Linked DNA regions of Oryza sativa Japonica Group. The protein of the gene in region 1 interacts with the protein of each later gene in a pairwise test. Links are inferred from orthologs where the notes say so. Each region holds a gene or a part of one and is shown in the gene's direction. Other genes may lie near its edges. The genes, in order: putative protein Brevis radix-like 3; FKBP12-interacting protein of 37 kDa; protein indeterminate-domain 16; histone-lysine N-methyltransferase ASHR3-like; thioredoxin-like protein CDSP32, chloroplastic; two-component response regulator-like PRR1; uncharacterized protein.

Evidence for each region.
Region 2: the proteins of putative protein Brevis radix-like 3 (region 1) and FKBP12-interacting protein of 37 kDa interact in binary tests that used the Arabidopsis thaliana proteins (3 or more experiments, as listed by UniProt). The link is inferred for Oryza sativa Japonica Group from reciprocal best matches to the Arabidopsis thaliana genes BRX and FIP37.
Region 3: the proteins of putative protein Brevis radix-like 3 (region 1) and protein indeterminate-domain 16 interact in binary tests that used the Arabidopsis thaliana proteins (3 or more experiments, as listed by UniProt). The link is inferred for Oryza sativa Japonica Group from reciprocal best matches to the Arabidopsis thaliana genes BRX and IDD14.
Region 4: the proteins of putative protein Brevis radix-like 3 (region 1) and histone-lysine N-methyltransferase ASHR3-like interact in binary tests that used the Arabidopsis thaliana proteins (3 or more experiments, as listed by UniProt). The link is inferred for Oryza sativa Japonica Group from reciprocal best matches to the Arabidopsis thaliana genes BRX and SDG4.
Region 5: the proteins of putative protein Brevis radix-like 3 (region 1) and thioredoxin-like protein CDSP32, chloroplastic interact in binary tests that used the Arabidopsis thaliana proteins (3 or more experiments, as listed by UniProt). The link is inferred for Oryza sativa Japonica Group from reciprocal best matches to the Arabidopsis thaliana genes BRX and CDSP32.
Region 6: the proteins of putative protein Brevis radix-like 3 (region 1) and two-component response regulator-like PRR1 interact in binary tests that used the Arabidopsis thaliana proteins (3 or more experiments, as listed by UniProt). The link is inferred for Oryza sativa Japonica Group from reciprocal best matches to the Arabidopsis thaliana genes BRX and TOC1.
Region 7: the proteins of putative protein Brevis radix-like 3 (region 1) and uncharacterized protein interact in a two-hybrid assay, tested with the Arabidopsis thaliana proteins (2 studies listed by BioGRID). The link is inferred for Oryza sativa Japonica Group from reciprocal best matches to the Arabidopsis thaliana genes BRX and EIF3G1.

The regions. Positions count from the first base shown.
Region 1 is NC_089038.1:30,808,870-30,813,388, reverse strand, and holds the start of putative protein Brevis radix-like 3, read left to right. Parts: upstream 1-1,566; 5' UTR 1,567-1,973; intron 1,974-2,250; 5' UTR 2,251-2,398; intron 2,399-4,014; 5' UTR 4,015-4,123; coding exon 4,124-4,228; intron 4,229-4,519. UniProt on the Arabidopsis thaliana protein: Acts as a regulator of cell proliferation and elongation in the root and shoot. Regulates roots architecture and primary root protophloem differentiation.
Region 2 is NC_089040.1:16,713,633-16,717,673, reverse strand, and holds part of FKBP12-interacting protein of 37 kDa, read left to right. Parts: coding exon 1-23; intron 24-1,386; coding exon 1,387-1,440; intron 1,441-1,907; coding exon 1,908-2,069; intron 2,070-2,492; coding exon 2,493-2,562; intron 2,563-4,041. UniProt on the Arabidopsis thaliana protein: Probable regulatory subunit of the N6-methyltransferase complex, a multiprotein complex that mediates N6-methyladenosine (m6A) methylation at the 5'-[AG]GAC-3' consensus sites of some mRNAs.
Region 3 is NC_089043.1:21,201,146-21,205,923, forward strand, and holds the start of protein indeterminate-domain 16, read left to right. Parts: upstream 1-1,770; 5' UTR 1,771-2,131; coding exon 2,132-2,270; intron 2,271-2,494; coding exon 2,495-2,897; intron 2,898-3,595; coding exon 3,596-4,568; 3' UTR 4,569-4,778. UniProt on the Arabidopsis thaliana protein: Transcription factor regulating starch metabolism by binding directly to the promoter of QQS. The IDD14beta isoform attenuates the transcription factor activity by competitively forming heterodimers with reduced DNA-binding capacity.
Region 4 is NC_089036.1:24,530,849-24,534,815, reverse strand, and holds the end of histone-lysine N-methyltransferase ASHR3-like, read left to right. Parts: intron 1-3; coding exon 4-97; intron 98-596; coding exon 597-675; intron 676-1,456; coding exon 1,457-1,628; intron 1,629-1,725; coding exon 1,726-1,806; intron 1,807-2,574; coding exon 2,575-2,950; 3' UTR 2,951-3,262; downstream 3,263-3,967. UniProt on the Arabidopsis thaliana protein: Histone methyltransferase. Involved in stamen development.
Region 5 is NC_089041.1:17,432,784-17,436,592, forward strand, and holds thioredoxin-like protein CDSP32, chloroplastic, read left to right. Parts: upstream 1-1,466; 5' UTR 1,467-1,648; coding exon 1,649-2,554; 3' UTR 2,555-2,868; downstream 2,869-3,809. UniProt on the Arabidopsis thaliana protein: Probable thiol-disulfide oxidoreductase involved in resistance to oxidative stress. May participate in the reduction of alkyl hydroperoxides derived from oxidative stress by acting as a physiological electron donor to the BAS1 peroxiredoxin.
Region 6 is NC_089036.1:25,050,571-25,055,174, forward strand, and holds two-component response regulator-like PRR1, read left to right. Parts: upstream 1-1,447; 5' UTR 1,448-2,073; coding exon 2,074-2,233; intron 2,234-2,364; coding exon 2,365-2,526; intron 2,527-2,610; coding exon 2,611-2,744; intron 2,745-2,868; coding exon 2,869-3,036; intron 3,037-3,241; coding exon 3,242-3,323; intron 3,324-3,422; coding exon 3,423-4,273; 3' UTR 4,274-4,545; downstream 4,546-4,604. Other genes in the region: glutaredoxin-C4, chloroplastic, read left to right, coding at 87-166. UniProt on the Arabidopsis thaliana protein: Controls photoperiodic flowering response. Component of the circadian clock. Expression of several members of the ARR-like family is controlled by circadian rhythm.
Region 7 is NC_089036.1:33,988,019-33,992,622, forward strand, and holds uncharacterized protein, read left to right. Parts: upstream 1-1,524; 5' UTR 1,525-1,618; coding exon 1,619-1,955; intron 1,956-3,145; coding exon 3,146-3,678; 3' UTR 3,679-3,854; downstream 3,855-4,604. Other genes in the region: uncharacterized protein, read left to right, coding at 1-67, 453-958; uncharacterized protein, read right to left, coding at 4,397-4,604.

The DNA.
Region 1 (4,519 bases):
GCTCTGATTGTCTCTCTCATCGTCGCTGTCGGTGACATGGGACCGGGAGTATCATGACTAGAGGCTTGAGGCAGACACAATCGCCCACGTGACCTGGCACCGTCAGGGGGCGTCGGGCCCGAGGGTGATGTGTTCGCCCTCCTCTTTACCGGGAGTATCATGACTTAGAGACTTGAGGCAGACACGATCACCCACGTGGCCTAACTCCCTCGGGGGGGGGGGGGGGGCGGGCCCGAGGGTGATACGGCTGCCCTTCTCTTTGTCTCCCCAAGGGGTCGGGCCGCTCCCGTCTCGGCCCCGAGGGCCGAAGCGCCCCGACCCCTTGTGGGTTTTGCGCCACGTATATGGGGTAGGTGAGCATGGCGGGGCTCACCTAACCACATTTATTGCAGTTTTGACGAGCGCGTCACGCCGCCTGTATCGCAGTACAGCACGCTCGTTTATCCGGTCTGTGACCAGTCACAGACCGGTCAGATCATGGGTTAGGTGGCGACAGGCGGTCTGACGCACGCCTCGCCCCATCCCGTCAGGACGAGAGCCTCCAAGCACTCGTCCCTAGCTGGAGCCGGCGTGTTAGCTCCTGGAGATGGCACGTTGGTTCCGGTCAGATATATGCCAGGCTTCATCCTAACCATTACAGGCAAGATATTGTATGAAGAAGGGCGAACATGCAGATTGTTAAACTGACACGTGGTGGACAAGAATGACCGATTTGTGACCGGTCTGACAATGGTCAAGTCATCAGCAGACAGCCATCTTCCCACGTCGCGCCTGCCTCCGGCGGAAGTGGAGGTAGGTATGGGCCGTCCCATCAGAAGGTCATTCGGACGGCGGCGATGCAAATCTCCGTCTGTTAATGAAGAGAAGTCAAATTGGAAGAAAGAGAGGGGGAGATGGTGCATGTGGTATCCCCTTAAGATATAAAAGGAGGACCTTGCCCACTTAGAGGGGGGATGATTGGACTTTTCCAGATTGGGAACCCAGAACAAGAGAGAGGCTGGCTCATACTTTGTAGCTCCTTCATACACAGATCCTCCAAAACACAGGAGTAGGGTATTACGCTTCTCAGCGGCCCGAACCTGTATACATCGCCGGCGTCTTGTGTGTTTCCTGTCTCGCGAACCTTCCACAAATTGGGAGCTTAGAGTCTCACCCAGGGTCCCCGGCCGAACCGGCAAAAGGGGACCAGCGCGGTCTCCCGGTGAGGAGCCCCACGCTCCGTCAGTCGCTATGGGCTACTCGCCTATTGGGCTTGCAAGCACACGCTGACGTACTTTGCGCCATCAAGATCGGACGGTCCTCGATCATGACAAAGCCCCGTCAGCATATGCATCACATCGCACGGTCCTGATCGCGCCACGGCAGCACGTTCGTCATCGCCACGGTCCGTGCCGGGGCCCGGGCCTTCGCGGGCCCCGCAGCGAATCACCGTAGGTGGGGCCCAGCCCAGGACCAGGGAGATGACCACACGCCGCGCAGGATCGGACGGCCGCGATCTCGCGGGGACCGCCGCGTGTCCCGTGGGGGAGGGACTATATATGGGCCGGAAACGAGACGGCTTGCACTGCCTGTGCACTCGGCGCCCTCTCGTCGTATATGGGGGAAGGATCCGACGGCCCAGCGCGACGCCCGCAGTGTTCTCTCCCTCCCCACCTCGATCTCTCTCTCTCGCTTCGTGGCTCTTCTCTCCTGCGACTGCGAGAGGAATCTCCCACTCAGTCCCAGATTGTTTCTGTGCGGCGACAGCGTCGCTGCGTAGCTTCTGATATCTTTGCCGCCGCTGTGTTTGGCGCCATTGACGCAGCCGCATCCACTCCTCGACCAGACAAGGGAGGCCTTTCTCTCTGTGCTATCTCCAAAGGCTTCTGAGTCGATTCAGAGGCAGAGCTCGAAACCGAAAGGGCGGCGAAGGTGAAGCCGACCGGCGGGCTGCAAATTGCGCTCGTTCGCTCACCGGCGACGTGGAGGAGAAGGTAATGGTGGTGACGGCGACGCACGCAACCAGCTTGCTTGATGCTTCGTCTTATCTTTGCTTTGCTTTTTTTTTGTGTGTGTGTGTGTTGAGTTACACTTTTTCTATGTTTTGTTTTCTCGTCTTGCATGCCGTTTCTTACCCTGTTCTGTTCACCAGAAAGTCAAAGTCCGTTTATCTTGGTGTCAAAAATAAAAGGCCGTTTCTCCTTGCATCCCGCTCTCGCTTCTAGGCGTATACATATTTATTTTGGCACATTTTTGTCTGCATCATTTCAGGCGCCGGAGAGAGAGGAAGAGGAGGCGGAGCAACCCGGTCAGCGCGCGCGTAGGTGGTTTGGGTACGCACACTGTTTACACGGCGAGCAAACTCGGAGGAGAGAGAGAGCTGTGGCTAACGTAGCTATCTGGGGGCCGTCAGTTACCTGTAAGCATCATCTCATCACTCTCACTGTGCCTCTCATTTCTCTCTCCCTCTACAGCAACATTAATTAATTACTAGCTGATACTACTACTGTACAAAAGAAATTACTACCACCGGCCAAAAGAAAACACACACAATACCGTGTTTAAGGTTATCACGTCGTGTTTCTATTAAAAAAGCGCAAAAGATAATCAGCAAAAACCCTACCGGGCTCCACAATGCAGTCACTCGATAGCCGGTCGCTTTAGCCGGGGCCCATATTTTTCTCGGTAGGGATGGAGCAGGAGGAAAAAAAAAATAAAGTCCAGGCAGTACGTTGATCTGGGGGAGGGCGTGGGGCCCCAGCTGCAGTGACTGTAGCTGATACACATCTGAGCGGCTCCCTGCCTCGTCCACCGAGCTACTGCTGTTGGTGTCGTTTGGAGTCTTCCCCATACGCCCCTGCCTACCTCGCGTGGGTAGCTGCGCCTCATCTGCATGAACACTGTGCACAACACATACACAAACGGGCGGAGCTAGCTAGCCATAGCACACTGGTGGTTAATAAATTTCCATGTGCGCGTAAACATCAGAAGCTTCCCTGCCGCAATGTAGCTGACCGTATTTTACTACTACAACCTGCTTTTCAGTTTTGATTTACTAGTAGTATATGTGTGTGTGTCATGTGGCATGGCGATTAAAGAATCTCTGTGCCTGTGCCCGTCGATCGATCTGCTTTGCCCCGCGTAGCGTTTCTTCCACTGTGTTAGAGCAGCCTGCGAATGCATGCCATGCATGCAGGAGTAGCTGTGAACGACTGTGATGCTGCCATTGGCATGGGTCTTGCTTGCTTTGTTATGCTGGTGCTATACTTTTTTGTCGCTGCAGGCTCCAGTGCTCCACTGCACCAGCTAGCCAGCCAGCTTGCCCCGTTTTGACGCCGGTGGCGAATTGAAGCTCCAGAGACCAGAGTCCCTAGCTATAGCTATCTCTCGTACATACGCATGCTTGCATTGCTCTCTGTTGCTCAACGAGCCGGAAGGACAGCTCCTCCGACGCACACGCATGCGCACGTGTGCGTGGTCACGGACCGGCCGGATAGCTCTGTGCTCGCATAGTGTACCGGATGTCGTGTTCGCGTGCTTACATGTGAGATGCAAGGATGGCATGGCACGTCTGGTCCAAATGGTGTGTGGTACTAGAATGGCGTCACACACCGGCTTGGAAACCGCTTTACGTTATTACAGTACATTGTAGATTGTGGCTATGGCTAGAGGATACTAGACTGATAGTGTCACTGTTGATACTTGATAGGAGTACGTACTTTCGGCGTGTATTTATTTTGGTCGTACATACGTGTGCGTGGATACACGAAATCTCGCACTCGTTTAATTATCATGGAAATGTGTACTATACATGTACTAAGTGTACTATTGCCATGCGAACAACGACAAAGTTTGACCATCTCATGGATAGACATTCTATCACATGCATGCATGCAACTGTAGCCGTGGGCTGTAGTGTCTACATGACGGCATGTCTGATCAAACTTGATCTTTCGTTACAGCGGCTTCAATTCTGATAGATAGCCGTACTGTGGTAGTACTATATATGTAACGCTAATGCACACACTTTTGCAGTTCGATACACAAGGTGAGATTGTGGGGGGAGCGATTGACTACTGATTGATCCGTCTCGTCGTCGTCGATCGAGGAGAGGGAGGCAGATAGGGAGAGGGGGTCAGAGAAGATGCTGGCATGCATCGCGTGCTCCTCCAAGGAAGGCGGGGAGGACGGGTCCCGTGGCGCGGCCACGCCTCACGGCAGAGATGCCGTCAAGTCCCTCACCTCACAGGTACCCGTCTGTCCCTTCTTCTTCTTCGTCTTGATCTAAACTTCTTCTCGTACATGCTACTCCTGGATCGAATTTACACCTGCTACTTTGCCATCAGTACTGCAGTATATAGAGTGTACTACTACATGCTACTAGCTCTGTCTGTATGAGGAAGAGATAGTAGTAGCAGCAGTTAATAGACGAGGGGGAGACCAGGGGTGGCAGCCAAGATGGACGACCACTGAGACTGTACAGTAGTATACCACTAGTGCTCTGTCTCTGCTTACCCATGTCACAAAAAAGAGAGAGAGA
Region 2 (4,041 bases), on another chromosome or scaffold:
AATTAAGGCCACCATCGATGCAGGTAACCATTAAATTGCTTGTGCTATTGGTTCTCCAAACTTTGATGCTTATTATTATAGAGTTGCTTTCGTAAGTGTTATCTTCATTGATACAAAGAAACAGACTTGAATAGAAAAATATGTGCTATATTGTACTTGTCCTTGAGCTTTTTCATCATCCTAGTTTGCCTCAATAGTGATAATTCTCAATATTTTGGTAGCATGCACTTGGCATCTTCTATACCAATTCTTAGCATGCTGTGATACATGTCTATGATGTAACTGTACAGAATTCATCTTCCAAAATCCTCTCTTTGATCTATGCACTTACACATTGTCCTTGCTTCATGTAATAGTTAATCCAAGACCTATTAAGTACATAGTAGAACAGTATATTAACATAAAACAACCTTATTATCACATTTGCATATATTGTTACTCCGATGGAATTCTTGTCTCTACATGCTTGTGATGCATATCACACAGCTTACATGGAATGGCTGAGGTGTTGTTCTTCACCCCACTCAACTTATATCTATAGCTTTGCTACTTTGCTCACGGTCTTCTCTTTGTTTTGTCTTTTCTGGATATTCCTTTTGTGATGGGATATTTCATGATCTATTTGTTTATTCTGCCATTTTAATTTTGAATCTGTTCGTCTGACCATTCACCCAAAAGAATGGGAATTATAAATGAGAACTGTGTGACATGTCATATGGTGTTGCAATGTTATATGGGGTAAGCACCATGCTGCATTGAGCCAAGTGACAGTGGCTGGAGGAGAAAACCTCTAGGAGAGGGAGATAGGCACAAACAGGAATTTACTTCTTAATCATCTTGGTTCATAGAAATGATGTGATGTGGATGCTAACAAACCAGTTTGATCCTTCCAACTAATTAAGATATCATTCCAAAACATTCTGTCCCTAAGAATACCTTGTAGATTACTAGATCATCTGTAACAAGTTGGTTGATTGCTCCCATTAGTGCAACACTTTCATGGCTAATGGGTACATGTTACATAGTCAATCTGGTGGCCTGTTTAAACTTGCATATTACAGGAACACTGACAATCTGACATGTACAAGCAACGCACACCTGTAGTTGTTTACCAAGTAAAGAGGATTCCTATTTGTTACTATGTAACATGTTTAGTGAGGTGCTAGTCAGGTGCCAAACTGCCAGACTACTTTCTAATCCCAACATCTTGAGCTCCTTGTAATAGTCTGAAGTGTTATATTCATATAAGATTAATAATTGCACTGAAACGAATAATACAATTAAACATAAGGTCCATCTCCTACAAGCATGATTCTTAATAATGCCTTCCCTTCTGTTGACAATTTAGATAACTTGTTTTAATGCCCTTTTCTGTATGATGAACAGACAAGGAGATTATTGCTTGATCCAGCAATCCACGAGGAATTTACACGATTAAAGGTTAGCGAGATTTACAAAACTAAATATTTGTGCTGTATCTTTGTGCAATTTTTTGCACTAATAGCTAGACACAAATTAAGAAAAAGCAATTATTGGATTGCTTGAACCAATGACTATAATCCTCTTTAATTGTGTATTAAGGGTACAAAACTTCGCCTTTCATCACACTGCATGCATATGTCGCAAAAATAATGTATTTATATTTCTCAGAATAAAAATATGCATTAAGTGACCAGTTGTTTTGTTTTGGGTAAGGGAGCAATGTGGTATTTTGATCATATTGTCTACTGGGTGTAGTAGGCATGACTATGACAACTTAATTTGGTATGACTGAAATTTTGGGGTGAATAATAATTGCGTTATTTTTCTTGGCCTAAACAGCTAAAGCACAGTTTCTAGGCTCACTGTCTAATGCAAGTAACTGTACTTGTGCATCAATCTTGGAACTTGCTTTTTTTTTTTACCAGAATCTTGTGGAGGAGAAGGAGAAAAAGATCAAGGAACTACAGGACAATGTTGCTGCTGTCAATTTTACTCCATCCAGTAAACATGGGAAAATGCTAATGGCCAAGTGTAGAACATTGCAAGAGGAAAATGAAGAGATTGGGGCGATGGCTTCTGAAGGAAAAGTAAGCCTCTTATAGACTTAACCCAATATAACCTGTCTTCTCATTCTTTAGGAACGTGAAATAGCTGATGAGAGAAGTTGTTGTTGAGAAATAGGAAAGTGGAATGAAATCCAATCTGATTCAAATATTGAATATCTCTCCTTGTCCAAGCAGAAGGAAAAGGAGACAATTTGAGCAGAAAGCCCATATTGCCACCTGAAAGAGCTAAATATTTTTACTTATTTTCATGGAACAACGAACATATTACATGAGAAATAATTGCATTTGATTTCCACTCTCCTCCACCCCCTGCATGCATGTCCGCCACCTTGAGCATATATATAGTTGCACCTGTTTTTCACTATTATCACTATCATCAAAGCATGATAGGCTTTTGATCCTACTACTTGTAACATTGTATTCTAAAACAATTTTTGGGTACAGATCCATGAACTTGGAATGAAAATTGCAGTTTTGAAGACTCGGAACAATGAACTCAGGAATCAGTTCAATGGTATGTTATGTAATATGCATATATTCTCCCTCCGCTTTTTTATGTAACTAGCAAAAAGCCCGTGCGTTGCAACGGAAAACAATTTGAGTTTCTAGCTTATTAAGTTAATTAAGCACATATGTAGTCCAGATAGTACTTTTATGATTTTCCTTATTGAACGAGTAGGTGATTTTGAAATTTGGGAAGAATCAGCAGTGAAATAGGAGATGACTCGCTAGAAGGTGGTTTATAGTATAGATTGTACGGACCAAAAATGTCAGTTGTAGAGGTGATGTAGCAGAACAGACACCACCACTACTAACATTTTAAGTAGTATAGATATCAAATTGAACTAACCAACGTCAAAAAATAATAAAGGATAGAGATAGTACTTTATAATCCTTTCTTCCCATTTTGCCCATTGATGATTAATTTGGACAACTACTTTATATTCTTAGCTCACTACGTACATTGTTTCAACTCTAGACTAATTCATCCTCCTGTTTAATATTGGTTGCACAATGTAGTGAATTTTATACTAGCGTGTAGCCCTTAACTATAGGAACTATTGAGGTTCATAAAGCGTTGAATGCCTATATGGGAAAACAGATGTTTAGAGCTGATGGCTTGATCATCTTTCATTAGACAAGAATTTTACGCTTAATATTAGTAGCATGGAAAGAAGGGGAGAAGTTTCTTCCCTTACAGTGAGTATCAAACAGAATGGATGTGAAGTTATTTTGCATTCTTTAGTCTACAGAATCCCATCATTAAAAATTGGCAAAATTGGTTTTAGAGCAATGAAAGTTCATAAATTTGGTTTTATAGCACCAAAAGTTACTTGTTCACTTTAATAGCATCCTAATGTTTCTTCCGTTCTCATTTTTGGCACTCCGTCAATTTTCTCTGTTTGCCATCAACGTCGACTTGTATGGCTCAGCCAATCTCCAGATCATGGAGATCAACCAGTCCGGACCCTAGGTCTCGCCGGCGGTGACCTTAGCCTCTGCCCGCTGCTTTGCTGGCTGGTGCTGGTCGTACTGGTGCCCATCTGCCGGTGCCAACCGTGGAGGCAACAACCGAGCGAATGATAACTTAATACTCTTTCTGTAGGAAACTAACTGATGGAGTATAATCTAATCTGGTTGTACATGTGTACTGCAAGAAAGAAGGGGAAAAATGGCTTCTTGATTCACTGGCAGTATCTGCATTCAAAAGGAATCACAACGCCGCAAGATGAGTCGTGGAGCCCCTCGCTGCATCACTCCCAACAGTACTCCGCGGTTCTGCACATCAATTAGTGCGTGCAAGCCGTTGCGTCTACTCCGCCGGCCATGGTTGCATTATGCCGGTGAGGGTTCCTGTTAGCAGGAATGCAGGATTGAGGATTGATGGGGATCAATGGTACCGGCGATGGACGTGAGTCTGCTGGAGACACATCACCGAAGAGCTGATGAACTGGTCGTCATGACTCACGACAAGCAATCGGTCCAGCAAGGG
Region 3 (4,778 bases), on another chromosome or scaffold:
CTTCAACTAGGGAGAGATGTACCTTCTTTATATCTGTACAATGTTCCGATACTCTCTCCTGATAATATTCTACTACCAACATTATTATCGGTAGAAATGAACTTAAACATTGATTTATGAGTTTTATCACACAAAAATATATTCCATTACTAGTAGTTAAGGTGGTAGTACAAATACATTTCCACTAGATTAAAAAATATAATTAATTTACATTGATTAATTCTGCTATCAGTAAAGACCAAAGAAAAACAACTCTTTTTTTTTTACCGGCTAGACCTTCCTTTAATACTAGTAAAAGACAAAGTCAGTTGCCAGAAAATGTTTGAAAATACTAGCTAATATATATTACCTGTGTGTTGCGACGTAATTTGAAAAAGGGACATCATCAACCTGTTTTTGCTATCACTTACTTATCTCATTTTTTTACCTTCAAAAAATTAGAGAGAGTTGGTTGGGGCAGTGGCAGATTCACCACTCGCTTTACCACTAATGTTTGTTAAAGCAGTATATATGTGTGTATTTATATATAACTCATTTTTCTAAAAACATAACTCATTTTTCTATTTTGTTTATGAATACGGTTGTATTTTCTATATATATATACGACTATGTCGATGAATATATTTTAGATCCACTACGATCAAACAGTACGTACTTGGCCATATGCATCCTTTATCTCGTACATCTAGAAAACACTCCATTTGGAGCCTAGCAGCTGAAACATACTCCTACTTAACTGGCATCGTTGAGTACGCTATCTTAATCAGACAAACAGGGCGATTAATAATCAAATGCACAATAAGCTTCCAAAATCAATCATTCTCCTTCCAGGCTCGACCGAATCCTTTCTAGGAGAATGACAAAGATCCAGTTAGCATAATCTTGGTGCTAATCACGATGTGAGAAAAAAGACTAATTAAATCAGGGCCTTAAGAACATAAATACTTAATTATAATAGGAGTATGTAGGGGTACATACGCTATGAATCACATATATTATTAGTACAAGCCATGCACGTGGATCTACCCACCTAAAAGTCCTTGTGGCAACAATTTTACAGTGGCCACTTTTAAGTACTTTACAGTGCACTAGTACATTTTCGTGGAACCAAAACAGCCAAATTAATTATTTAATTCATCTCACTAACAAATATCAGGAGATAAAACTATCAGGGATACAGTTCCTTGTGGCAACACCGTCTTTTATAGACACAATTCCTGATGCACACTGCACATGCTGCACAAAGGAATTACCTCATTTTGTAATTTAGTATGAGATTAAATTCTCTTGCTGAAATCTAACCTACTTAACATGACTTTAATACCTGATGTAGCAGTTAGTTTTGCCATCTCAGATTCTTCCTTGAAAAGGATACCTCAAAGGCTCAAACAATTGTCCAATGTCAGAGTATTAGTATACTTTCTCTCTTTGCTTTTTTTTTTCCTTTCTAGCATTTGTTGTTTTGCGCATACTGACTTGGTAATAGCTACTCCTAGCTAGCTAGCCAACAATTGCAAGCTTCCATCTAATCCTCCTACCCAAACACCATCTATCCATTATGCACCCATCCATCCATCTATCCTCACCCATATCTATAGGATCATTGTGTGTTTGTGTAAACTCCTTTTCCTTGCTCCAAAAATGCCTTTATTTATTGAGATGCATGCCAGCCAGTCCCTCCTGTCCTAGCTGAAAGGCAATTAAGACACAACCCTCAGAAGTACTTACCAACTCTAGCTCTCCTTCCCTCCTCCTCCCCATATAACCCCAAAGAAAGCTGCTAAAACCTAAAGCCGGTGGAAAGCTGCTTCCTCTCTCTCTCTCTCTCTCTCTCCTCCTTTGGAGTTGTCTCTGTAGCAGCCCACAAAAGCCAACTCCAAGACCCTTTCTTCCTTCTTCCCTCTCTCACATCTTGTTGATTCCTTGCAAGCTCATGGTGGTAGGAGTAGTATATTATAGTACTCCCATTCCCTCCAGTTTATTGTTTTGCCTATCGATCTCTTGTTGTTCTTCATCGTCCTCTATATAGAACGAACGAGTGCAATGCATTCTGTTCACATCGTCTGAGAGTTTGTGATCAGACAAGAACAGGAAAAAAAAGAGGGATTATTTTGCCTCTTCCTGTGCCGCCATGTTGGGTTCTTGCGCCCCGACGACGGCCGGGCCGCCGCCGGACGAGGCGACCACGCCGGAGCCGTTCCGGTCGCTGCAGATCGCCACCGCCTCCGCCGGCTCGGCGAAGAAGAAGCGACGGCCAGCCGGCACGCCAGGTAATTAAGCTAAGCGCCGAGACGCGCCGCCCCAGATATCATCATGCGAGTACATCCAATTATTATTGGTAGTAGTTGGCAGGATAGATTTGTTGCATGCAATTGTGTGGCGCGGCAATGGCCATGGTAAAAATGATATGGATGGGTTCGTTCTTCGTTGGTTGCTGCTGGTGCATGGAACCAAACGGCGCTTGGCGGCGGCGGCGGCGGCGGTGGTGGTGCAGACCCGGACGCGGAGGTGGTGTCGCTGTCGCCGAGGACGCTGCTGGAGTCGGACCGGTACGTGTGCGAGATCTGCAACCAGGGGTTCCAGCGAGACCAGAACCTGCAGATGCACCGGCGGCGGCACAAGGTGCCGTGGAAACTGCTGAAGCGGGAGGCCGGCGAGGCGGCGAGGAAGCGGGTGTTCGTGTGCCCGGAGCCGACGTGCCTCCACCACGACCCGTCCCACGCGCTCGGCGACCTCGTCGGCATCAAGAAGCACTTCCGCCGCAAGCACAGCGGCCACCGCCAGTGGGCGTGCGCCCGCTGCTCCAAGGCCTACGCCGTCCACTCCGACTACAAGGCCCACCTCAAGACCTGCGGCACCCGCGGCCACTCCTGCGACTGCGGCCGCGTCTTCTCCCGGTAAACCCAACTCTTCCACCGCGTAAAAACGTTTTTTTATTTCTTCTCCTTCTCTTTAGTAGTTTGCAAGTTCTTGATTCGGTTCGCTTTTTTCAAAGTTTTCTCTCTCTCTTTTTGGGATGTTTTTTCGGGGCCATGATTGTGGCGGATCGGTGCGCAATTCCCGAGGGGAAACGCCACGCTCTGCGTCAGAGTGAGCGAGTAGCGAGTGCGCGCGTCCACCACCTGCTCGCGCATTTGTTTCAGCAGCGCGCGGCTGCTTCCGCTCGTGTCTCTGGCTGGCTCGCTCGGCGCGCGCGTCCGCGCGTGTCTCGCCTGCCTTTGCCGCGCGCGGCATCAATGCGCGGGAGAGGGCGCCGAGTGGCGCAGACTAGCTCGCACGCCGCCTGAGTCCTGACAAGCTAAGCTAACTCAAAGGGCGGCGTTCTCCGTGCTTGGCAACTTTGCGCGCGCATGCAACACAGGCCGGCGTTCACGTTACGTAGATCCAAATAATCGTTTTGGAGTTTGGAGTTTGGACCCCTGTGCAGGCAGCGACATAAATCGATTGAAATCTTCTCACATACAATAAAGTCTCTCTCTCTCTCTCTCCCTGGTCTCGTTGTCTCGCTCGCCGTTGTTGGCTTCGTCGATGCGTTCTTTCCCGTTCGAGTTTGTGTACGTACTGATGTGCTGTTTGATTTGTTTGATGTGAGCAGGGTGGAGAGCTTCATCGAGCACCAGGACACGTGCAATGCCAGCCGCGGGCAGGCGGCGGCGGTGGCGGAGGGAGGGAACGTGTCGACGGCGGCGTGCGGCGGCGTAGCGGTGTTAGAGCAGGAGAAGCAGCTGGACCTGCAGGCGCCGGCGGCGGCGTCGCTGTCGCGGACCGCGTCGAGCACCAGCCCGTCCAGCGACGTGGTTGCCAGCCCCGTCGCCTGGCCCGGGGCCGGGGCGCCCTCGATGCCGAGCCCCAAGGCCGCCGCCTTCCGCGGCCGGTTCGACATGGCGCCGTCGCCGCCGCCGCCGTCGTACGATCATTACCGCGGGGGCGCTGGCGCGCACAACCTCGAGCTCCAGCTCATGCCGCCGTTCAACGCGGGTGGCGCCGCCGCCGCTCCGGGCGGGATGGGGGCGTGCTTCTACGCGGCGGCGCATCAGCATCACCCGACGGGTGTCTCCCAGTGTAACGACGCCTCCACGCAGCTGCAGCTCTCCATCGGCCGTGACGAGGTCATGGGCGCGGCTGGGACAAGCGACGAGGCGTCGGCCGCGGCCACCGCGAAGGAGCAGGCGCGGGAGCAGCTGCGGCAGGCGATGGCGGAGAAGGAGGCGGCCGGCGAGGCCCGCGCGCAGGCGAGGCGGCAGGTGGAGCTCGCCGAGCAGGAGCTGGCGACCGCCAGGCGAATGCGGCACCAGGCGCAGGTGGAGCTGAGCCGCGCCCACGCGCTCCGCGACCACGCCGTGCGGCAGGTCAACGCCACGCTGCTCCAGATCACCTGCTTCAGCTGCCGCCACAAGTTCCGCGCCGCGGCGGCGGGGGCGCCACTACCGGCCGCCATGAGCTCCGACGTCGCCTGCAGCTACGTCTCCTCCGTCGTCACCGAGGGCGGCGACGCCGACGATCCCCTCGACGTCGTCGACGCCACGCGGCGTCGCCTACAGCACGCTAACAGCATGGGCATCATGTAGCCAAAGAAGAATCCAGTCCAGCCCAGCTAGCTCGCGAAACGCGCCATCTCTTCGTCTACCTCTGATCGAATCTCTTCTTGTACGTTCCATTTCACCAGCAAATTAAGACGACGAGATCGTGTGGTGTAATTAGACGCTGCATATGCTGCTAGGCTAGCTAGTGTTTTTTGTGTCTTGCCGGCCGGAAAGCTAAGCAGGGCTTGCTAATCG
Region 4 (3,967 bases), on another chromosome or scaffold:
CAGGGGCCTTTACATGAGTTGTTCCAAGAATTGCCACTGCTCAGATATGTGTACGAACAAGCCATTCCGCAAGGATAAAAAAATAAAAGCTGTCAAGGTAATTATGTCCTGCAATTTTTTTCTTGATTTCGTTAAGGACATCAATTACCATTACATTCTTCCTTACCTGTGTAACTCTTTCGGCATACATATAAAGTTGCATGCTGTGATATTATCTGCCGTAACTTTTCAAATTTGTCAAGTTCCTCATTTGTCGAAGAGCCTGTGCTTTTAGCTACAAGTTGTATCATCATGGAACAACTAACTTACTGATTACATTATTTGAATTTTACCTAAACTTGGAACTGAGCTTCAAACGTTGATGATATCTAATAACAGAAGTATTGTGCCAACGACTCAAAAGTATTCAAGTCCACAAACCTCCTTTGTATTGTTCTTTAATGTAAAATGGCATATGGCTATGATAGTGCTGTTTGAAGTTGTCATGCCATCAAATGTAGATTACTTTCACCTTCTGTTGACACCTCCGGGCACCATCATTCTTCATTTGTTAGGGAGAATAAGTCTGTAACTGCAGCAACTACTTTTCTGTACAGACAAAACGTTGTGGATGGGGTGCTATTTCATTGGAGCCATTGGAAAAAGGTGATTTTATAATTGAGTATGTTGGTGAAGGTACAAGTTACTCTACCATTTAAACTTATATTATACAAATTAGCATATTCTTTAGTAAACTGTATGCATGTCATTGTGGAGTCACATTATGCCATTACAGTACAATCCAAATTTCTTGACATGAATATTTCCTGAAGATAAATTTGAAGCAACTTATTGGTAGTTAGCATGAAAAAGCCTGTTTAGTCATTGCATCTGTTTAACAGAAAAGGTACCTCAGCTTTAGATGAAAACTTATTATATTAATCTGAAAATTGGATAACGAGTGTACATTTTGTTCCCACTCTATTTTATAACATAACATAGCTACGAAGCCTACAATTATGAACAATGGCAGTTCTTGTTGCCACTTATTCTTGTGACCTTAGCTCTTTGTGGTTTTTATTTTATTACTCCCTCTGTCCTAATATGTAGCTATTTCTAGCAGTCAAAGTGCATCCTAAAATGTAGCTATTTCTCTACCTACCTTTTCATCTCAACCCATCATAACCATTCTCCATTTAATTTCTTCACCTACTTCCTCTGCTCAACCAATCGCAACCTTTCCCCATTTAATTCAACCTACTTCTCAAGAAATGCTTCCATTTTGGGACAGAGTATGTCTCCTTCACTGTTTTTTAGTTGAGTTTTATGGCGCTGTGGGATAGCATCGTATTATATCTTTCTGGGTTTGATTCAAAGGCTCTTAGCTATTCTCTCTATAACTAATTACAACAACTTAATGCTATGCTCATCTGTTCTTTTCAAATGCTTTTCTAATGTGTTTTAAACATTATTCCAGTCATCAATGATGCAACATGTGAACAAAGGCTTTGGGACATGAAACGGCGAGGTGATAAAAATTTCTACATGTGTGAAATCAGCAAAGATTTTACAATAGATGCAACATTTAAAGGAAACACATCACGTTTTCTGAACCACAGTTGTGATCCCAACTGTAAATTAGAAAAATGGTAATGCCATCTTTTTGGAACAGAAAAGCTCTGTACTCGGTGTTTGTGAACAGTATGAAATGATTAATGTTCCTGATTGTCTATGTGGCTTGTCCAGGCAAGTTGATGGTGAGACAAGAGTTGGTGTTTTCGCCTCTCGTTCCATCCAAGTTGGAGAACACTTAACTTATGACTACAGGTATGTGCAAACAATAGTTTTTCAAACTATATTTTTAAGGATCCTAAGTATTCTTACTGAAAAAGGTATAATGAATACATTCTTTTGATATGGAGATATAGTTCCTGCATAGAGAAACTGCTTTCCTGCAATCAGCTATGGTTAACCATGATTTGAAATATATGCATATCTAGTGGAGTATATGTACATATGTAAATTCTGGTGTGTGAACTAGAACCTTTGTACTATTATTGTGTGGCATGTAGCTTTTACATCCACATTATGGGCTCTGTGAATGACTCGGCAAGAAAGAGAGAAAATTTACCTCGTTTTTTGCACGCATGCTTCCCAAACTAATAAACGGTGCTTTTTTGGTGCAAAGAACATATATACGAAAGTTACTTTTAAAACCATATTAATCCATTTTCAAGTTTAAATAATTAATACTCAATTAGTTGTATGCTAATGGCTCACCTCGTTTTGAGTATCTTCTCCTTATCTTTTCTCCTCCACTCAAACGTTGTTCACTTGCTTCCCACTTCCTCTTCTAGATGGTGAATTTCCAAATCATGCTTCGGTAGCAGAAACACCACGATTTTTTTCTGTTATTTTCTTATGAAACCAATTAGCATTTGTATTAGATTAAAATACCGTTATTATGTGGGAGCGTTGAAACGGTGACTATTCTCCCAGCCCACACGAAGAAAGATTTTTTTTTCTTCCAGGAGTCTTGTGAATAATAATGATTTTCTATGAGCAACAGTAACAATAGTTCACGTTCCTTTTCAGGTTTGTGCATTTCGGGGAGAAGGTTAAATGCTATTGCGGGGCACAAAATTGTCAAGGTTACCTGGGCAACCAAATAAAGAATCCTACGCAGCGTGCTCTCGCAATTGCAGCATTGGAGAACGAGTGGCTTGAATCTTTGAAGATACAACAGGACACCTCTGCTTCAAGACACAAACCGATGACACATTTGTTACCTTGGACCAACTGTATAGAGGTACCATTTAACTTGAGAAGCAAACGGAAAATACACCGGATATGCTGGGGATGCAAAAGGAGGAGATCAGCCGTTGCCGTTACATCTCCAACAAGCATACAAGCGTCAGTTACTGAAGCTGCTGCTGCTGCTGCTGCTGCATCCCTGCCCGCTTTGCCATGAAGTGGCAATAGCTGAAGTCGCTTCTCATCTGTATAATATAGGATGACACATTTCTCACATGAAATTGATTTTTGAACGACGATTCTTTTGCATTGCTCCTCCCCACCACCACCAAAACTCCCTGTTGTAATTTGTTACAATATTCATTTGATTACATAGTTTGTTTAATTTACAGTTGTTCGCTGAGAATACTCGACTATCTCATGTAATCAATGTTGTGCTCCAACTCTCGATTGCCTCAGCCCTCAAGTTGAGGCGAGTACATGAGGGCTATTATTGTCTTAGAGAATCTTATACTATTATTTTGACACATTCCTTCTGGCTAGTGACAAAATATCAGAAACACGGAGAAGGCACTGGTACAGAAGAGTATATCAGATTTCAACATTCATTCACTCAACATTTCTAGATTGACACTGAAGCATTTCTTCGTGGAAAGTAACTGCATTTGAAATAGATCAAATCAACAAAGCAGGGGTACCTGTCTCAGTCCCTGTTGCAGAACCACTTGGGTCACTGATAGGTGCAGAACAGTGATAGGTGCAGAACAGAAGTCATATTTGCCAATTGCCGTAGTGTTCGTACACAGAATCAAATCAGCGTACAAAGTGCTCAATTCATTGCCTGATAGCAACAAATGCAGTCTCAATCGACTCGAATCAGATTCCCATGCAAATCCAATACGCAAGATGTTTTGACGGTCCAATAGACATGCCAAGAAGTACCTATCATCCATCACACAAGGGAAGAAAAACAAGCATCTTGACAAAGAAATAATGTGCCGCCTCCCGCCTCCCACCATCACCAGAATACTACCACACAACCGGAACAAACAAAGGGAGTGACAATGCCGACATTATTATAAAATGACTTGTATTATATTCCCAACATTAAAGTTTGATATTCGGATACATTTTGCTCACTGTGGCAGACAAAGCAGACCACCTAGAGCCCTTTTATTCAGAATATATGCAAGATAATAAAGAACATTGGTCATAGCATATACTAGTACTATAT
Region 5 (3,809 bases), on another chromosome or scaffold:
CATAACAAGAACACAAGAGTAGGGTGATACGCTTCCGAGCAGCCTAAACTTGTCTAAAAAGACCATATGTTCTTATTTGCATGATTCGATTGCCTCGTTTCCGCTCACCCATTCCATAGCCAAATCTTCCTTGGGGGGTGCCACTCCTCCCCGCTGAAGGAGCTCCATACAACCATTGATATACATAAATAAGGCTTGCCACCAATGCAACAAAACACTAAAGTGATTCTCTATCTATTTGTAGCCTGCCAATAGATAACTATTTTTTTCATATATCCCTATTAAAATAAAACAAATCATAGAGACGTGTGAAAGATATATGTGATATAATAGGAGGTCAATTATCAGAATCCTTAGAGATAATTTGAGATGAACCGTCTCATATTATGCCATTGCAACTACAAGTGCTCAATTATCACAAAACAAAATTTAAATCATTTTGTGAATGTTGCTATAATATATTTATTGAAACTACAGGGACCATCTAACATCCATGATGATCGGTTATTTCATAATTTTACAAGTAGGGATATTTAGGATTTGATACTCATAAAGGTGGCATTTCAGGATCCCAAAAAAAAACCTCCGTGCCTATGACATGGTGGTTGTTCTGATCCCACAATAACAGATGCGTGAGTGGTACATCCTAAATTGTAACTATTTATAGATCAAAAAATTCAAAATCCCTCTTTTAAGTAAGGAACTAGTTGTGATAATACATCACAATGGATTGAGAAATTTTTCACGCCTTAAGGGTGTCTCATCATTGATTCATTGTATCAAAATACATGCCAATACTAGTTATGAAAAAAAACTGGTAGCATTGGTATAATAAATATATGTCTACTATCCGAAGATTTGAGGACTAATTAAGTTCGACTCACAATGAGAAACATAAATGACAAATTCAAATTGTAAATATTGCACTATTCATGGGTATATATATTTTGCCTTCTTTTTCCCCCATTTAGTTGGTTGAGAGTCGTAGTAGATGCAATATAGTACTCTATATTGTTGATTTTTTTTCAGAATTTTTATCACTATTTGTCTTGTTTTTAAGAAGCAGAGCTACAACAGGGCTGGGATAGGGGGTAAAAATCCACTACCTGGTGGAATAACCTTCACAACAAAATCTGGGGTGACCCAATTGATGTTCTTGATCACAATAAATCAAAAATATCCAAGTTTACATGCATGCATGAACTCAATACCAGCCCCCAATTCTCCAAAAGTTGAAAAAACAAATTCTGACCATGACTATAAATTAAATGTGGGGGGAAAAAATCAGGGCTTGTGCTAGCTACCAACAAACCATGAATATATATTTCTAGAAGGGAAAAAAACAAGACAGGAATATTGACAAGGCGAGAAACCAACAAAAGTGCATGGGCAAAATAATCAGTCCCCCCCAACTTGAAAAATCTCAGCTGCTTGAAACCCCCCAGCCACAAACCCAATCCTGAACTAGTGGCTGTGTGGATGAACTCTGATTGGATTCCAGCTACTATTTGCCATCCATTTCTTGCTGAATTCTCTCTTCTTTAATTCATCCTCTCTTCTCCTCTTCTCCTTCATCACTAGGCAGTAGCCACAGTAGCCAGTAGCTAGCTAGCTTGTCAAGCTAGGAGCTAGCAGCTGTGTGTCGTCGATGGCATCCACCGCCGCCTTCCTGTCCACGCTCGCCGGCTCGACCAGCCTGGGCGGCGCCACGCCGGCCAGCGGCGGCGGGAGCGGGAGGAGCAAGACGGCGAGGTTCTTGAGGAGGCGGCGGCGCGGCGGCGCGGTGAGGGCGGCGGTGTCCGGCACGGAGCAGGCGCCGGAGACGACGAAGAAGAAGGGCGGCGGCGGCGGCGGCGGGGACGAGCGGGTGGTGCAGGTGCACAGCGCGGAGGAGCTCGACGGCGCGCTGCGGGCGGCGAAGGAGCGGCTGGTGGTGGTGGAGTTCGCGGCGAGCCACAGCGTGAACAGCAGCCGCATCTACCCGTGCATGGTGGAGCTGAGCCGCACCTGCGGCGACGTCGACTTCCTCCTCGTCATGGGCGACGAGTCGGACGCCACCCGGGAGCTGTGCCGCCGGGAGGGGATCACCGCCGTGCCCCACTTCACCTTCTACAAGGGCGCCGAGAAGGTCCACGAGGAGGAGGGGATCGGCCCCGACCAGCTCGCCGGCGACGTCCTCTACTACGGCGACCACCACTCCGCCGTCGTCCAGCTCCACTCCCGCGCCGACGTCGAGTCCCTCATCTCCGACCACCGCGGCGAGGGCGGCAAGCTGGTGGTGCTCGACGTGGGGCTCAAGCGATGCGGGCCCTGCGTGAAGGTGTACCCCACCGTCGTGAAGCTGTCGCGCACCATGGCCGACACCACCGTCTTCGCCCGCATGAACGGCGACGAGAACGACAGCTGCATGGAGTTCCTCCGCGACATGGACGTCGTCGAGGTGCCCACCTTCCTCTTCATCAGGGACGGCGACATCGTCGGCCGCTACGTCGGCTCCGGCAGGGGGGAGCTCATCGGCGAGATCCTCAGATACAACGGCGTCAAGGTCACCTAGACATATACAGATTCATCACTACGCAGCTCAGCTGCATGCAGCAACCGTAATTAAATTAATTACTGTACTACTCTCTTGATCATGATTGTAATTTTACACCACCACACTAGCTTGAGAAGATCAAGCTTGTTTTATACTGGGGACGATTTGATCAAACCTATCTCGTTGATTTGGTCCCGTGTAATACTAGAATTTTGGAACGTCAATTGCAAGTTCGAGACTTGATTTTGCCTATGATTGTATCTGTATCCATCCATCTATCATAGGTGGTGTTCTTATCTCTGAAGATGAAGATTAAGTTTTTTTACGCAAAACAAGGTGGTATTAACATATGATTGATTGAGTTTTGATTGTTACAAACTTAAAAAATAGATTAATATGATATTTTAGAGCAACTTTCATATAGAAAGTTGATCATCACTACTGATCGATGTTTTTACACTTAATGGGGACGATTTGATCACACTATCTCGTTGATTTGGTCCCGTGTAATAATACTAGAATTTTGGAACGTCAATTGCAAGTTCGAGACTTGATTTTGCCTATGATTGTATCTGTATCCATCCATCTTTCTATCTATATGATTGCCCAGTTAATTTATCTTCTGATTACCTTCTTTCTTAATTAATTACCCCATGTCTCAAAAAGAAGATAACAATGATCTGCTCACCAAGAGCAATGGAAGCCACAAGATGACCAAACAAGAACTGCTCACAGGTTTGCCAAACATTTGTCAAATGCCCAAACTGAATCTGAAGATATTTACAGGCTTCCATTTTCAGACGGAAAGAAACAGAGGGTAGCGTAGGGAAGCTGCCTACGCCGTAAAGAAAAGATCAACAGCAATGGCAGCTTGTCCTCCACAAGTTCACATCATCTCACAGCAAGTTGCTTTCACTTCCAGATCTTATGCACTACTTGCAGGTGGTAATGTCGGTCAAAAACTGGACAAAATTGCCTTCCTTGGTTTGCTCTGCTGACTGCTGGTCCTGGGATGTCATCACAAGGAAGCAATCCAGATCACTAGATTTACATAGTTGACACAAAAGGGTTCAGTTCAGAAACTGCTCAATTAGTGCATGCCCTAACGTAAAAAAAATGATCTTCTGTTCATTGGTACTGTTATAAATTAGCGGCTGTCAGCATCAGTTATGTCACAGCAACGGAACAGGCTCCTAACAGAAGATGACCAAGTTGCAGATACCACAGAATATAAATTACTGACATTCTAGCTAAAAAATCCTATAAATCTCTT
Region 6 (4,604 bases), on another chromosome or scaffold:
AAGAAAATCGCTAGAACAAGGGTCACTTAGGCCAGAGTTTTTCTACACTATTTTAACGTCGATCTTCATTGATGTCTTTCAAACAGATACCATGGCGATGCACAAAGGAGGGAACTTGGTCCCTCTGCTGACGGAGGCAGGAGCAATCGCCACTCCTTCCCTGTAGATAAATACCTTTGCCAAAACGTGTTTGTGGTGTGTCAATGTCATAGAATAAAGGCGAATATATATGGGGACTTCCACTGTCAGAACAACTTATTGCTGATAGTAGTAGCTTTGGGTGACTTTCAAGCCTGTATGCAGCACTACTCTAGCTAATAACTCATTTTGTATGATTTCATTGGTAGCAATAAATATGATTAGTGCGTCCTGTGAATGAGACTGATGACATCGGCACTCCAAGCTCCTGCTACTGGCTGCCAGCCTGCCTCCAGATTTTTGAGATCGAGATGTTGTTGTGTCGTCACTGATACCAACCATCCACTCCTCTCGGTGGAAGAAATACAGCCAGTGAACTGGAGGAAACACCCTTCGTCAAAATGATTGTTTTGCCTGGCCATAGTTCAGAGCTGCAATCAAAAATCTTGGTTGTGTTTACCATTCTGCTGAATTACTGAATTACAGCGCTGGTAACAGATCAGTAAACAAACGACAGCGCTGTTAACGCTAAACCCATTTTGCAGCATCGCTGATTTGCTGCCGGAGCCCGGAGGCCACCACGTACATCGCCAGTGGCAAACAAGAAAAGCAAAGCTACAGAAAAAGCGCTAGGCCGGCGCCACGAGCCGCCACCACAAGTCCACGACCAGTCGCTCTCCGGATCGGCGTAGTGGCAATGGGCATCCCAAGTTGCCAACACGGGGAAAAAAAAAACACCCCCCATCCAGCTGCTGCTCTCTACCGGCCACTCGTCTCGTCCGGTAGCTCAAAATCTTTTACTCATCAGCCCAGCCACCACCGTATCGCCATGCTGCCCATCAAGGTCTGTACTACGTGAAAACGTGAGAGCCGCGTTTCCCTCTGGATTTTTCTCCGCCTTGGCACGTCCGCGGTGGGCTGGCGCGGCTTTCGTCGTGATCCGCAACGGAGGGCGGGGACGCGGCCACCGTGGACGCCGCCGCACGTACGTGGGCGTGGCGCTCCCACTCCCACGGCACCACCACGGCACCACCTCCCTCCGCCTCTCGCGTCGTCGTTTCCACAGTACTACTACAGTAGCGCGTCTCCCTGGCGTTCGTTCGCTGGCCCCCAGCTCGCGCGCGTGGCGGCTCCCGTATCGCACGGCCACGGCCCCACCACGCCCGCCGCCCCTAATCGCATCCGCGATTAAGATATTTCCGTGCCAGGTAGGCGTAGATATTTTCTCACCGAAATCACACGCCGCCAGGCCGGGCCCATCTGGCTTAACCACGCCCGGCTCTTCCCCTCCATCCAACCTGGCCCTCCCACCCACGGGGCCGCGGCTCGCGGCTCGTCCCGTCCCGTCCCGTGACGAATCCATTGACACCGGCACACGCACACGCACACCCGCACCGCGCGACGCGAGTACGCGACACAAACCGCTCGCGACGAGCCGTTTCGTTTATTTTTACACCGCCCCGGCGCGGCGTGACGAGGCCTTTTCTTCTTTCTTTCATCTCTCGCCGAGCCGAGCCGAGCCGAGCCGCGTGCCCCACCGAGAGAGGAAAGCAAAAGGTAGGGGGAGGAAAATATCCTGTGCCAGTAGAGCGGACACCAACGCCGCCACCACCACCGCCGCCGCCTCCTGAATAGATTAGGCGCGGATAATGGTGCGGGCCGGACCGCAACGCGCGGCGGAGGAGGACGCCGCCGGCGTCGGCGGCGGGTGGCGGCGGTAGCACACTGCTTAGCCTCTGGGGGCGATACTACTGGCGACGGCACGGGATATGGAGGAGGAGGCGCCGCCCGCAGATCCAACAACCGCTTCGTCCTCCTGCGTCGTCTAGTCTAGGCGCCGGCAGCTGCTGCTGGCTGCTGTGCTGTTCGTGCTGATTCGGACGCGTCGGCAGCTGGTGACAAGTGGCTAGGGGGGGAATCCGTGCGGGTCGGGGTATGGTGGGCGCCGGCGAGGGGGATCGCGTTGGCGGCGGGGCGGCGGTAGGGGGAGGGCAGCAGTTCGTGGACCGGAGCAAGGTGAGGATTCTGCTCTGCGACAGCGACCCAAGTAGCTCACGGGAGGTGCTCCGCCTCCTCTGCAACTGCTCATACCAAGGTCAGTTCAGCTTTGTCTGCTTAGTATTTGGTTTGCTCTTATAATTAAGGATTAAGATTGCTTTAGTAGATGAATTAGCAGTTCTATCACACCTTCTCGCATGGAATGATACGTCTTTGTTTTTGTTTCAGTGACTTGCGCCAAGTCTCCGAGGCAGGTGATCAACGTACTCAACTGCGAGGCGGGGGAGATCGACATCATCTTGGCCGAGGTCGATCTGCCCGTCTCCAAGTGCTTCAAGATGCTCAAATACATCGCCAGGAACAAGGAATTGCGCCACATCCCCATCATAAGTAAGCTGTCCTCCTATTCCTCTGATGCCCATGCTCGTAGGGTTGTTGTAGTGACCATCCTCATCTTTGATGCGAATTATGCAGTGATGTCCAACAGAGACGAGGTCTCTGTTGTTGTCAAGTGCTTGCGTCTCGGGGCAGCCGAGTACCTGGTCAAGCCACTGCGCATGAACGAGCTGCTGAACCTCTGGACCCATGTGTGGCGGCGAAGGCGGATGGTAAAGGGGACTATGTTGATTCATCTTCAAATTCTGTGTTGAAAAGCATGCTCTAAGCTGAGATGGCTGTGGCGTTGCTGTAGCGTGTATGAGTTGATCTTAAGTTGAATGTTGGTGTTGGCAGCTTGGTTTGTCGGAGAAAAACTTCTTCAATGACAATTTCGAGTTGGCGTTATCGGAACCTAGTGACGCCAATACCAACAGCACCACTCTTCTCTCGGATGACACAGATGATAAGCCAAAAGAAAACATTAATCAAGAAACAAGCACCTCGAATCAACATGAATATGAGGTAACCAATCAAGTACTAGTTATCCTTTTATATTTTGCTGTCCAACATACTACTTCTCTATTTAGTATCTTTCTACCTTTGTGTTCTGTTTAGATGCTAGAGCATGCCTTTTTGCCTCATATGTTCAATTGATGATGATAAGATGCTGAATTTTTTGCATCAGTCTACTTGTTAAATGCCCTTGCATTTCTTGATATGTTTGCAGTCTAATCCTTCTGATGCTGAGCCTAAACAAAAAGGCACACCAGAGGGTTTACTAGTCTCTACTGAAGGCGGCGACCAAGCTTGTAAGTATCTTGAGCCTTAAACCATTTCCTTTAGCTGATTTAGCAGATCCCCCAATTGAAGAATAGTTTCTAAGGTTTATGCCTTTGCTTTTATGCCAGCATCTCCCGGAGTAATGTTTTCACGTCCAATAAAGACTAACTTGAGGGTTGCTGAGTCTTCTGCTTTTCTAGCTTATGTTAAGTCAAGCACCCCAACTACCAGCTCATTTGACAGCGAACTACAAAAAGGTGGAAATCGGTTAGACTCTTCGGATCACAGGGGTAATTTCTCTAGTACAACTGACAGAAGTGACACTGGCACTGATGTAAATATTCGGGATAAAGAAGCCTTTGAGATGCCAGTGCAATACCCTGTGGTATGCTTTTCTTCCTCTAACTTGCATCTGGAGCGAAGCAATGAAGGCCAAAATGATGCTTCAGGAACTCCTCCTGTATATCATTTTCCCTTTTATTACCCAGGGATGATGGACCACGGTATGACACATCCTCCGGTGCAAAATTTCCAAGGGAACATAAACAACGCTCAAGTGCATACACCACAAACGTTGCTCCCTCAGTATAATGTTTATCCCCAATGTCATGGTGTATCTATGATGCCACCATTTCAGTATAATCCTGCTGGTATGAGCATTCAATCAAATCAACTGCCAACACAAAATATGTGGCCACAGGCATCAAGCACACCAATGCCCGAGGAAACATGTAGTCGGTCTGAACGGAGAGCTGCAGCACTTGCCAAATTCAGGCTGAAAAGGAAGGAACGTTGTTTTGACAAGAAGGTGAGGTACGTGAATAGGAAGAAACTTGCTGAAACAAGGCCGAGGGTGCGAGGGCAATTTGTTAGACAGGCAAACTATACAGATATAACCAGCACTGGAGATGATATCTCAGAAGATGAAGATGATGATCCATCCTCCAGGGAGGTAGAGATGGTTTCTTCTCCAGAGTAGTTTGAAAGGTTTTCCTATATGTAAAATAGAGTGCAGATGATTACTGCTCACTTTGCAACTCATTAGATGTAGGCAATACATTTCTTCTGCTTTTAACTAGGCAATACATCCACTCGCTCACACACAATACATCCTTTTTGTCCCCCAAGGAACTTGTGGCATATCCATCACTGTTACTATGGACGTTTTGGAGAAAATCATCTTTGAAGGTGAGATGTAATTATGCTAGTTAGTGATGCATAGGCCAGTCTAGATCGTAACCATCTTGTTTCAGAATCTTATAGGACTTTACTCAGTGCTCCTTCTTAGACACGTTTTTACTTCCATTTTC
Region 7 (4,604 bases), on another chromosome or scaffold:
GACGCCGGCGCGCGCCTCACCGTGGTCTCCCCCGAGGAGATCGTTCTCGAGCGTCCAAGCGCACCAGGTATAGCAGTAGTCTCTTCTTCACTAGTACTACGTATATACGTTGCTCGTTAATTGCAACTTTGCTAGATCAATCTGCAACAATGGATTGATCGTTTTTTTTTTTGAATTTGTCTTTTTCATGTTAGCCGTGTATAGATACGTGTTACAGATCTATTTAGACTAGGCCATGTAGTATATCTGAGACTGAACAAAGGATATACTAATTCCTTTTCTTTTCGACATAAAAGGGATACTAAGTTTTGTAGCAATTCCGATCCGTTCTAAAAATACAGTGTGATATTTAAACTATTCATGTATAGAATATCTATCCGAGGAATATAAATTCTAAACATACACCCAATTCTGCATGCAAATCTTTATTCGCTAACTGTTCTACACTGCAGGGAGCAAATCGGAAGATCCACTCATCCCCGCACTGGACAAGGGCGCCGCGCTGATGGTTTGCAGGATCTGCAACGCCAAGGGCAAGCACTGGACATCCAAGTGCCCCAACAAGGACTTCGCCCCTCTGCAGCTCGACGCTCTCGTCGACAACAATATTCCTCCCAACTCTGGCGGCGACAATGGCGGCGGATCCCGGCCGGGCAAGTACGTGCCCCCGAAGCCGAGGGAGTCGGAAATGCGGCGGAGGAACGACGAGAACTCGGTCCGCGTCACCAACCTGTCGGAGGACACCCGCGAGGAAGACCTCCGCGAGCTGTTCGGCAGCTTCGGCCCGCTCACCCGCGCGTACGTCGCGTTGGATCACCGGACCGGGGAGAGCAGGGGGTTCGGCTTCCTCAGCTTCGTCTACAGGGAGGACGCCGAGAGGGCCATCGCTAAGCTCAATGGCTATGGCTACGATAGCCTCATCCTTAATGTCGAGTGGGCTGCTCCAAGGCCCAACTAGCCTTTACTAGCACTAAAATTTTCTATTCCATCCGTTTCAATCATATTATAAGTTGCTTTGATTTTTTCTAGATAAAAAATTAAGTTTGATTTAAATTTATAGAAAAAATATAACTTGAGTTGTAAATGCTAAATGTTAGTTTTAGTGAAACTAATTTGGTGTCATAGATGTTGCTAATTTTTTTCTATAAACTGGGTTAAACTTAGGAAGTTTTAACTAGAGAAATGGTCAAAGCGACTTATAATATGAAACGGAGGGATAACATAGTATTATACTTACTACTATCTGCTTTGCATGTTTCATACTATAGTGTTGGATTAGTGTGATATTTTGTTGAATCAATGGTTTCATCAGTTATAATATTTTGAGGAAGTTGCATGGTTGAATGTTGGTGGTTGGTTATGTGTGTACAAATCCAAATTAGTGAGAACACTAATATTACTAGGCCCAATAGAATGTCTCTGAGGCCTAACTTATCCGGCCCGTAGACTAAAAAGCCCATCAACGTGGATACCGCCTTACAGATCGGGGCGCACAAAACGATCCGAGCCGCTCGTTCCATTTCCATTCCTACGCCGAGGTCTTCTTCCCCACTCTCTCCCTCCCACGCCGCCGCCCCCGCAAACCCTAGCGAACGCAGCGGAGAGAGGAGAGAGCGCCATGGCCGTGGAGGTGGCGACGCAGAAGATCAGGTGGGGAGAGCTCGAGGAGGACGACGAGGGGGACCTCGACTTCCTGCTCCCGCCGCGCGTGGTCTCCGGGCCCGACGAGAATGGGTTCAAGAAGGTGGTCGAGTATCGCTTCGACGACAAGGGGAACAAGGTGAAGGTCACCAGGACCTTCCGCGTCCGCAAGATCGCCCGCGCCCGCCTCTCCAAGAGCGCCATCGAGCGCCGCTCGTGGCCCAAGTTCGGCGACGCCGTGCAGGAGGACGTCGGCGCGCGGCTCACCATGGTGTCCACCGAGGAGATCGTCCTTGAGCGCCCACGCGCCCCAGGTTGTCACTGTTCTTGTGCATCCCCCTTCCTGTCCAGATCTGCGTCGATTGACGTGTTCTCGAATCGAATTATTTGTTTATCGTTGTGCGCGATCTTCATCAGAACTAGACACGATGTATTGGAATGTTTCGTGCTGTCTATTCCTCTATGTGAGATAGATTATAGAATCGAGGCTGGTGATCTATTTAGGAAACAGCTGGTGCTGCTTTCCTTGAACACTACATACGTCAGGACTCTGTTATAATTTTTCTTGCTTGCTTGGTTTCAGTTTTATCATTTGCAGGCACACATCTAGGTAGAAAGAAATGTGCAATAATGTTAATCATTGAGCTTTATAGGAGCAGTTAATCTGCATGTATTGAAAGGAGTATTTAAATGGGTAATTATGGTGACACAAGAATGTCATTTGAAGTTTTGTTTAATTTTGAAGCGATTCTGGGGTTGAATATTTTTAACATTGAGTGGAAAATTAATAAGAGTCCAAAGTTAATATTTTTGGACTTGAGTGTAAAGTTTCAGTTAGATCTTTAGAGAAGCTGCGGTTGTTTTTAATCGAATATTGAGACAGGGGACATCGATAATGCAGATTAACACGTCTTTATTCTTCCTAAGAGAAGTGTTGAAAATACTGGATAGTGGTGGATCAGGAAAACAATTCTTTTGTGAATACCTATTATGTGCGTATTGTGTAATTGATTGTGGTTTGGTGTGTTAGTCATGCGTATTGTCTGATGATAGAATTTTCATATTGCAGTGGCATTGTATCTTTAGTTTTGTTGTTCAAGAATTATGCATAGGTAATTCGATATCTATCATGGGTGCATGCCCTCGTCCAGTCGTCCTTATACCAAATTGATCTTCGAAGTACATAGTATCGTCACATTTAGTTATGCTTGTTATAACCAATGCTTTTGGTCTTCTAATGCATCGACACAAATCTTCTTAGTGGAGTGCAGCCTTGTTGAGATCCTTCATTTTTTTTGTTCCAAATGATCTATACTAGCTGACTTTGCTTTAGTCTTGTAAATGTTTATGCCTTTGTCTTCTTGTTTGCTAACTGTCACTTAATTTTATAGAGTAAAGCTGAAGAACCTCTCCCTTTTTTCCCCAAAGGCTCAGCTAACTTTGCTTTAGTCTTGTAAATGTGTATGCCTGTCTTCTTCTTTGCTAACTGTTCATTTAATTTTAGGGAGCAAAGCTGAAGAACCAAGTGCTTCTGGTGATCCACTGGCAAGCAAGAGTGGTGCAGTTCTCATGGTTTGCAGAACCTGTGGGAAGAAGGGTGATCACTGGACCTCAAAGTGCCCCTACAAGGATCTAGCTCCCCAGACAGAAGCTTTTGTGGACAGGCCTCCCACTGCTGATGGCTCTGGACCTCCAGGTGGCGCCGTGAAGGGAGCATATGTTCCTCCAAGCATGAGGTCTGGTGCTGTTGATAGGGTTGGACATGACATGAGGCGTAGGAATGATGAGAACTCTGTCCGTGTGACCAATCTATCAGAGGACACCCGTGAACCCGACCTACTTGAGCTATTCCGCACATTTGGTCCAGTTAGCCGTGTCTACGTTGCGGTGGATCAGAAGACTGGAGCAAGCAGGGGGTTCGGCTTCGTCAACTTTGTTCACAGAGAGGACGCTGAGAAGGCTATCAGCAAGCTCAATGGTTATGGTTATGATAACCTTATCCTTCGTGTTGAGTGGGCAACACCAAGGCCAAATTAATTTTGTTACTCCCTGCAAGCGTTACATACTTTTCATGAATGTTCGATCAGTATGTCTCTTGAAATAGTACTTTTGGTTTGCGCATATCCTGTGTCCTGAACTTAAGCTGTACTATTTTTGCTTGGACGAGAATAACTGAACTCGCAGCTATTTCCTATATCAGCTGATATTTGCAAGTGTGTTTGTATGGATGTGCGAGGGTTCCATATTTCATCTTGTTCATTGGAGTTTTTCTTAAAATCTGTTTGATTGTCGCTCAACCTGTGCAACCCCTACAACTGCAGCTTCCTGCAATGTGCATGATTCTTTTTGATGCCCCTGATCACGAGCCTTGGGGAGTTTCATCATCAAATCGACGTTAGCTAAAGCAATGAACAGGTTGGATGCTGTAACAACCGGCAAAAATCTGTTGGCAAAATACATCTGCACGCGGATAGATTGCAGCGTACAACAGTAGGAAAAGGGACTTAACAGTCTGACGAATATCTCAGCCACGCCGAGTTACAATTCCATCAGGGTTCTGGTTGTCTGTACCTACTACTAATACTCCTCAAAATAGCAGCATCATTCGATGATAGTATTGGTACAAAAAGGGTTCTACAAAAAGGTCATATCAAGGACCTTAAGAAAACAGCGAAGTATATGTCTCACGCCTGTACTGCAAAACCTCACGCCATATCTGCACTTGCAGCTCTTCCTCTCTCCAAGAAATTCAGCCTCACTCATCGAAGTGAGAGGCATGGTGGATACAAATGAACCATTTGCCATCAACCTTCTCAAACACATTGGTCGCAACCTGCCTTCCCCAGCTGCTGCTCCCTTTGGTCTTAACCAGCTCCAGGCAGGTCACATACCCAAGATCACCTCTCACATGGACCTCAACATCCTGCAGATCAATCTGGAGAGGGAACTCGTAGTCCGCGTCG